2 linked regions of the Macaca fascicularis genome follow. The protein of the gene in region 1 interacts with the protein of each later gene in a biochemical or structural test. Links are inferred from orthologs where the notes say so. Each region holds a gene or a part of one and is shown in the gene's direction. Other genes may lie near its edges.

Region 1 (4,364 bases):
TTTTTTTTTGAGACGGAGTTTTGCTTTGTTGCCCAGGCTGGAGTGCAGTGGCACGACCTCGGCTCACTGCAACATCTGCCTCCCAGGTTCAAGCAATTCTACTGCCTCAGGCTCCCAAATAGCTGGGATTATAGGCACCTGCCACCATGCCCATCTGATTTTTGTGTAGAGATGGAGGTTTCACCATGTTGGCTAGGCTGGTCTCGAACTTCTGACTTTGTGATCCGCCCACCTCGGCCTCCCAAAGTGCTGGGATTACAGGCATGAGCCACCGCTCCCGGCCAGTTCTTTTTTTCTTTTTTCCTTTTTTTTTTTTTCGAGACAGGGTCTCACTCTTGTCCAGGCTTGAGTGCAGTGGCACAATCACGGCTTACTATAGCCACTGCCTCCTGGGCTCACATGCTCCTCTGGCCTTGGCCTCCTGAGTACCTGGGACTACAAGCGTGAGCCAGTTTGGCTAATTTTGGCTAATTTTTGTAGAAACGGGGTGTCATCATGTTGGCCAGGCTGGTCTCGAATTCCTGGGCTCAAGGGATCCACCTTCCTTGGCCTCCCAAAGTTCTGAGATTACAGAAGTTAGCCACTGCGCCCTGCTGGCAAATTTCTTAAACTGTCTGTGCCTCAGTGACTTCATTTAATAAAGGGAATAATTGTAGCACCTTTTTCCTAGAGCTGTGAAGATTCAGTGGAATAAATAAGGCAATAAATGAATGGATGGGGAATGAAGGATGTGGGTTTCCTCCCTCTTGTCTTTCAATAAGCTCTCACCATCAACCTCCGGTTGCCTGTTGTCTCTCTTCCCTCTCTCTCCCTCTGTCTCTCTCTTAGCCGGGAAACCTGGGGTAGGGAAGCATGGAGTCAGCGGGAGCAACGGGAGGTTGCGGACACTGATTGGGGACGCCCACGGAGACAGTCCGGGAGAAGGATCGGGGTGGGGCCTGTGGCTGCTGCAGGAGGAGGAGGAGCCCGCGGCCCGGCCCACACCGGGGCAGAAGGGCGGAGCCAGGTGGCGCCCCGCCCACCGCTTCCCGCCCACGCACTTTAGCCTGCAGTGGGGCGGAGCGAGAAAATACCTTGTCCACCTCGCGCCTCTGCCGACTCTGCAGTGCGACGGGCGGAGCTTCAGGACGCCCCGCCTCCTGTTCCGCCCCACGTCGTATGCGACCCGGAGACGCGTGGGGCGGAACTTCCGGACGCCCCGCCCTGCTGCCGACCCTGCGGAGCTGAGGGTGAAGCCTTCGGATGCCCGTCCCTCATCGCTGGCCCGGTCGCGCTGAGGCGAAGGGGGCGGAGCCTGCACCCGCCCCGCCAACCTTCGCCCCGCCCGCCTCGCGCCGCGCAGGGAGGAGGAGGAGGAGCCGCAGCCGGGCCCGCACTGCAGCGCCAGCGCCCGAGCGGGCGGCCAAGCTCCTGGAGCGGCCTGTCCCCGAATCCCGAGCGGGCGTCGCTCAGCAGCCGGTCGCTCAGCAGCCCCGTCCCGCTCCGCGCCCGCCATGCCGTCCGCGGGCCCCGCCTGAGCCGCGGCCTTCGCGCGCGGGCGGGCCTGGGGACGGCGGGGCCATGCGCACGCTGCCCTGACGATGCCGCCCGCGGCGCCCGCCCGCCTGGCGCTGGTCCTGGTCCTGGGCCTGGGCCTGTGGCTCGGGGCGCTGGCGGGGGACCCCGGGCGCGGCTGCGGGCCCTGCGCGCCCCCCTGCCTCTGCGGCCCTGCGCCCGGCGCCGCCTGCCGCGTCAACTGCTCGGGCCGCGGGCTGCGGACGCTCGGTCCCGCGCTGCGCATCCCCGCGGACGCCACGGCGTTGTGAGTAGCGGGCCCAGCGGGACCCGGGAGAGGCCGCGGGGCGGGCGGGCGTGGGCGCGTTCCCTGGCCCGGTACTGGAAGCAGGACGCGGGCCAGGACGCTCCCAGGGCGAGGCTCCGGCGCGGGACGGCGGCCCTGCTAAATAAGGAACGCCTGGAGCCGCGGTTGGCACGGCCCCGGGGAGCCGAAAAACCCCGGGTCTGGAGACAGACGTCCCACCCGGGGGCTCTGCAGACGCCAGCGGGGGCGGGGCGCGGAGGCCGCGCTCAGCTGAGAGGACAAACAGTCGCTAATTGGAGGGGAACTGGGATGCGGCCTGGGGCTGCGGGATACCCTGGGAGGTGGGAATGGCTGTCGGGGGCGGTAGGGAAGACTTTCAGGAGGTGTCTGGACAAAGATTTGATGGATGTGCAAGAATTGGCCTGATGCTTAGGAAGGGGCGATGAGGTGGGTCCAGAAGAAGGGGGCGTGAACGTTGTGAGCAAAGACCGTGAGGCTGGAGGCTGGCCACGGGAGGTGGGCTCGCGGGTGGGCTGGAGTCATGAAGGGCCTCAGGCGCTCTGCTGTTGGGTTCCAAGGCTATCCTGAGAACAGGGGCGAGGGAGGATTGCTGTGAGGGATTAAAGCCTTGTCATGTTCGCTTTCTGGACATAAAAGCAACAGGTGGCCTTCATGGAGACGCTGCCCATAGCCAGGTCTGTGCCAGGCTCCTGTTGGGGGTCGTCATGCGGAATCCTGACCCTGACCCTCTGAGGTATAGGGACTGTGGAGATTTGCATTTCACAGATGGGGAAACAGGTTTGGAGAGGTGACACGACCTGTCCCAGGTATCACAGTCGGGACAGGATCTGTCCCAGGCATTACAGTCAGGGCAGGACCTGTCCCAGGTATCACAGCCGGGATGTGCATAGCAGGGGTATGGAACTGAGGTGCTCAGGATCCAGAGTTGGGTTGAAAAGGGCACAGGGGACTAAGATAAGCAGACAGTTGTCACCAGCGCTGGGGAGAGTCTCGGGACCAGTCTGATGCCTTGTATTTCCCAGGCTCCAGGCTGCTCCCTAGGACGCTGTGTCTCCCTGGATGCGTGCTGGAGTGCTGGATCCCTGGGGAACGTGGCACATCCCCAGACTTGCTGAACATTGGGTGGGTCCTGGCATTTGGTTTTGTAATGTTTCTGGGTCACTCCTGCCTGTGGCCACCCTTCCTTAGGGTAGCCGTGTGTCCTTGGGGCTTTGCTGGTTGTTCTCGAGGGTGGGAGAAGAATGGATTCTCCTGGACCCGTGGAGCTCGTACCTCTCTGGGCCACATTGCTCCTGCGCTCACTGACTGCTGAAGTGTGTCTTGCGGCCGTCTCTGTGGAGATGGCCTCCTCCTGCCTGGCAGCAGCGCCCACAGAATTGCATCAGACCTACCCACCCGTTGTTTCTGATGCTGTAGCCGAGGGCTCCTCTGTCTGCCAGTCTGGTCACTGGGGGCTCTGTCCAGGTCCTGCACCTGGGGTTCCTGCTTCCCAGCACCTGGTGGTGTCCATGTGAGCAGCCCCTCAGGAGCTGTCCAGGAGAGAAGGGCGCTGGTGGCGGCTGACCGGAGAACAAGGCCCGGGCTCTCCAGGCCCTCAGCACAGCAGTGGAGCCCCCACCCTCGCCCATGCCTTGTGGTGTTCCCTTAAGCTCTGATCCTGGGATTTGGAGGAGGGGGACCCTGGGAGTTGGTGGCCTGTCCCAGCCTGAGCTGGCAAGATTCCAATTGCCAGGCCCCTCAACTGTGCAACAGGGTACAGGGTGACCTCATGTGGGCAGGTGGGTGCTGTTCTGTACACACCTGGAGCTGCCGCTGGGAGAGTTCTGGAAGGTGGGGCGAGGGGACCCATGGGACACTGGGGCCTTGGGAAGGATGTTAAGGCCCTGGCTGGCCCCTGAGGCGACCCTCTGTGCTGTGGAGGCTGCCCAGCCATTTTGCTGTCTATCCTGCAATCTCCTCCTCAGGGAGATGGCTGGGTTTTCCCCAGGGGAGAGGGGCCGAGCTGGGGAGGTCGAGGACACAGATCACAGCTGCTGGCGGGTGTTTAAGGGCCCAGGAGCGTTGCTATCTGGGTGTCCCCAGCAGCCTTCCTAGGGGGCTCATGCAGGTGCCTCTCTACTTGTGGCTCCCCGGCTGCTGAAGCTCAACAGGAACAGCTGTGTCCAGTCCCCGATGGAGGACAGCCGGGGCTTCTGAGGCCACAGCCTTCCTTGGGTTAATGATGATGCTGAGAGGTGGCAGCTTTTGGAAAAGATGGCGCACTGCAAAATGTGCTGCCCCGCGTGACTGGAAGCTTCGTGGGGAGACGTGGGCAGAGCTGTGACTGACTCATGGACCACCCACCCCAGAGCCTGCCCTGCCCTCCTTGCCCCTACCCTTCTCCCTCCTAACCCATGTTTTGAACCAAATTCCTTTTCTTTATCTGCAAGCATTTTGGAGGGCATGGCAATACCGCAGACCCACCTAACACAACAAACAATTCCTTAATGCCACCAAAGGCCTGGTGTGTTCAGATTTTTGGTTTAATAGTTGGAATCAGGAG
Region 2 (3,812 bases), on another chromosome or scaffold:
TATTGTCATACTAGCAGAAGATGGCAATAATTATTCTATGCATATTCCCTAAAACCGTATCAGTTTTAGTTGTAAAAAATGTGTGGGCCTTATCCAGAATAATTCATCTCTGAAATGTTAATTAAATTGTATGCATACAGGGGTCATATGATACATTAGGTTTAGAGAAAAATTTATTCCAACTCTCATCACCAATTTGGCCAATCCTTACCTTCAAGTCTTCCACTGAGTAGAATGTGTCAAGTTCATGTGTATGTTCAATACATAGTTTCAATACTTATTTTAAAATCAATCTAAGAGATATCTTATTATCTCTGGTATTGTCAATAGACTATAATGTCATTTTATGTGGTACTGTGTTCTTCTTATACCAATGAGGAAAAAACAAAATTTGGATGTCGTCCTATATCTGGGGATTATAAAAGAAAGCATTGAAAATACTGAATTCAGCTATGCTCTTAAAATTCCACATGAAACATTTGTAAATGAAATGAAAAACAAAAAAGGAATTAGGAATGAAACTAAAAATAAATATTCACAGATAATATTTTATAGTTATCACTAATTAAAAATTATTTTTCCTTCTGTTTCTATTTCCTATCTTTTCTAACGATAAGTAAATATAAACCCAAAAACTTCTTATGACACATGAATAGGCATTTTATTTTTACTTATTTTTGTATGTTCTAAGCCACTCCTCTCAATAACTCACACATGTACCACTTTTAATGTGGTCAAGGAAAATTTTTTCCCAAAGGACCAAGTACTAAAGCCAGACCATTTAATCTTTCAAAGGTAATACGATTTGGTACCATTGGATGAAGAAACCAATGTGGTTTGGATTAAAGTTTCATTTTTCTTTGCTTCCATTTTGGTGTGGATGAGGCCATCACAATTAATTTTTCAAGTTTAGCATTGCTTTGCCAACGGGATCTCTAGTATTCCATTTCTCCACTGAATACTGGGAAATTTTAAGGAAAAGAGGCCAGGACAAGGAATCACTTCTAGATTAAACATTGCATTGACTTGCTGTGTGACTCAGACAAACCACTTACCTCTTTGTCCTTCAATTTCTCCATCGCTGAAAATTGCTTCGCCTCCCTGGTGCACAGCAATTTTGAAAGATGAAACTTGAGTTTTGAAAAGAAACATGCCACATAATTTTGAGGTATTAGAGTCCTGCTTTTGTAATAGCAAAATGACCACCATTCATTAAATCATTTGAATAGGATAATTCATTATTGCTATTGATGATATAATTATTATTGCCTTATTACTGTGTTATCATACATTTCAAGTTCTTAATAGCATTTTTATTTGATATCTTATTTCACTTGTAGTTTATTATACAAAATATCTGGAATGTCATTTTCAATATTTAGAGATTTGGGGATCTGTTATGAATTAATATAAACTGTTTAAATCAAATTTCTGCATATTTTTACCTCCTTTCATTGGGTTATTTTAAGAATTTAATTTTAAAAATTAAACATTGGACACTTACAGCTCTGTGAAATTATTAGAAGCCATGTAGAGAAAGGGTAAATTGTTCCTTTTGCTTGCAACTCCAAAATTACAGTCCATCTTATCTCCAGCTTCTTAATCCCCATGATATAGTCTTTGAATAAATTTTACCTTTCCAGTATGCCTTTAACTTAAACAGTGTATAAAATATTTTAGAAATGTACTTTCCACTTATTAAGCCTGAAATAAGCATTTTTTTGTTTTTTTTATTGACACATAAAAGGTACATAATTTGTGGTTTACAACATAATGATTTGATATATGTATACATTGTAGAGTGACTTAAGCTAATTAACATATGCATTGTCTCACATACTTATTTTTCATGGTGAGAACACTGAAAATCTATTCTCTCAGAAATGTTCACGTGTACAATATATTGTTATTAACTGTAGTCATCATGTACAATAGATCTCTTGAATTTATTCTTTCCACCTAAAATTGTGTACGTAGCATCACTTCTGATTTTAATTTAAAAAACTTTTTATGTTCAATACAATGACAATATTAAATCGTCTTCAGTGCTCCAACCCTATTTTTATTTCTTCTTTATTGAGTTAGTTGAAAAGGTCCATTTTCCCGGCTCAGCCATTGGGTAAGATGGGGCTTTTGTTTTGGGAAGCTACGGCATAGGAAACTTGTCTAATGATGTAGAGACCCAGTGACCCACATGGATGAAAGAGGATTAACATCTTTGTTATTTCTCAACACAGGCTTCGAATTCACTCAAAGAAAAGCAGAAGTGTGAGACGCAGACGCTTAGGCAAGGTGTTCCTCTGCCTGGGCAGTACGGGGGCAGCATCCCTGCGTCTTCCAGCCACCCTCATGTTACTTTAGAGGGAAAGCCGCCCAACAGCAGCCACCAGGCTCTCCTGCAGCATCTATTATTGAAAGAACAAATGCGACAGCAAAAGCTTCTTGTAGCTGGTAATTCATTATGGCACCTTTTGCGGATCATTTTAGGATTTTATTTTATTAGTGATCCAGGATAATGTCTCTTTTACTTAAGACCCTGATAGAGATCCACAGTGCTATACAAAAGTCTCCCTGATACCTGGTACTGTGGGAAAGGCTATCACCTCTATTTATTCCTTCAGATCCAACTGGGGTAGGAGGACTCACCTCATTTAACCTTTATTCATACCAGACTAGACTGGTGAGTTGTAAGGTCAGGTGCGTACCTGTCCAATGCCCTGACATTTCTCTCTTCCCACACCTGACCTTTTGACCACACCTTCTGTTGTTTGCCTGGTAGCATGAGTAATTCACTAATTTTCTTATAGTTTATACCATATATCTGTTTTCTTTGGCTTCTTATCTTTTCTTAAAATTGTGCGTGTGTGTGTGTATGTGTGTGTGTGTATACACACATATACATGTATTTTTTTTTTTCAGGTGGCGTTCCCTTACATCCTCAGTCTCCCTTGGCAACAAAAGAGAGAATTTCACCTGGCATTAGAGGTACCCACAAATTGCCCCGTCACAGACCCCTGAACCGAACCCAGTCTGCACCTTTGCCTCAGAGCACTTTGGCTCAGCTGGTCATTCAACAGCAACACCAGCAATTCTTGGAGAAGCAGAAACAATACCAGCAGCAAATCCACATGAACAAAGTAAGCCTCCAAGCCAAGTCAAAATGTTCTAACCGCTGGTTTGGAAATTGGGGATCTCTTCACTGATATGGGTATATAAGAGAAATGTTGATGGGAGTCACAGCAAAAAGGATGTGATCATCCTAAGCCTGCTTTCTTGGCTCAAGGACAGCATCACAATATCAGTGTTTTAACCACCATTATGTTCATGAGACATTTGTACAAAATTGAGATGATACATTTGCAAGATCTTTTATGATCAGGTATCTATTTTGGTACACAACCCCATATAGGCCTGTATATGTGGAGCCTCATTTTTTAGTGTTGCAGAAAAGATTTGAGGCAGACTTGAATGTGGTGCATTGACATGTCAAAAAGTTTGTACAGGTGATGGCAGATAGGCCAAGGTTAGCCAGTAAGGCACTTCTCAGCAACTTGTATGCATCTATGTTACATTTATTTTGCATATGCCCCACTTCATTCCAATAAGCGTTTGGAGTAGTTTCTCAGAAACTTGTGATCATTTCTTCCTGGAAGTCTTAACGTTGCTAAAATGGACAGCGGATGTCTGTACCATACCACATCCTTAGGAGCTCTCCTGCTGAGGCAACTACAAAGAAACAGTGATTGCAGCATAATATCAGACAGGCCAGTAAAGGATTTTCTATGAATTTGTAAGCAAAATGATATTAAAGA

The links.
Region 2: the proteins of PKD1 (region 1) and HDAC9 form a complex in vitro, tested with the Homo sapiens proteins (2 studies listed by BioGRID, with this or other methods). The link is inferred for Macaca fascicularis from reciprocal best matches to the Homo sapiens genes PKD1 and HDAC9.

Annotation. Positions count from the first base shown.
Region 1 is NC_088394.1:2,900,336-2,904,699, reverse strand, and holds the start of PKD1 (polycystin-1), read left to right. Parts: upstream 1-1,345; 5' UTR 1,346-1,580; coding exon 1,581-1,801; intron 1,802-4,364. UniProt on the Homo sapiens protein: Component of a heteromeric calcium-permeable ion channel formed by PKD1 and PKD2 that is activated by interaction between PKD1 and a Wnt family member, such as WNT3A and WNT9B. Both PKD1 and PKD2 are required for channel activity.
Region 2 is NC_088377.1:111,560,939-111,564,750, reverse strand, and holds part of HDAC9 (histone deacetylase 9), read left to right. Parts: intron 1-2,237; coding exon 2,238-2,451; intron 2,452-2,919; coding exon 2,920-3,137; intron 3,138-3,812. UniProt on the Homo sapiens protein: Responsible for the deacetylation of lysine residues on the N-terminal part of the core histones (H2A, H2B, H3 and H4).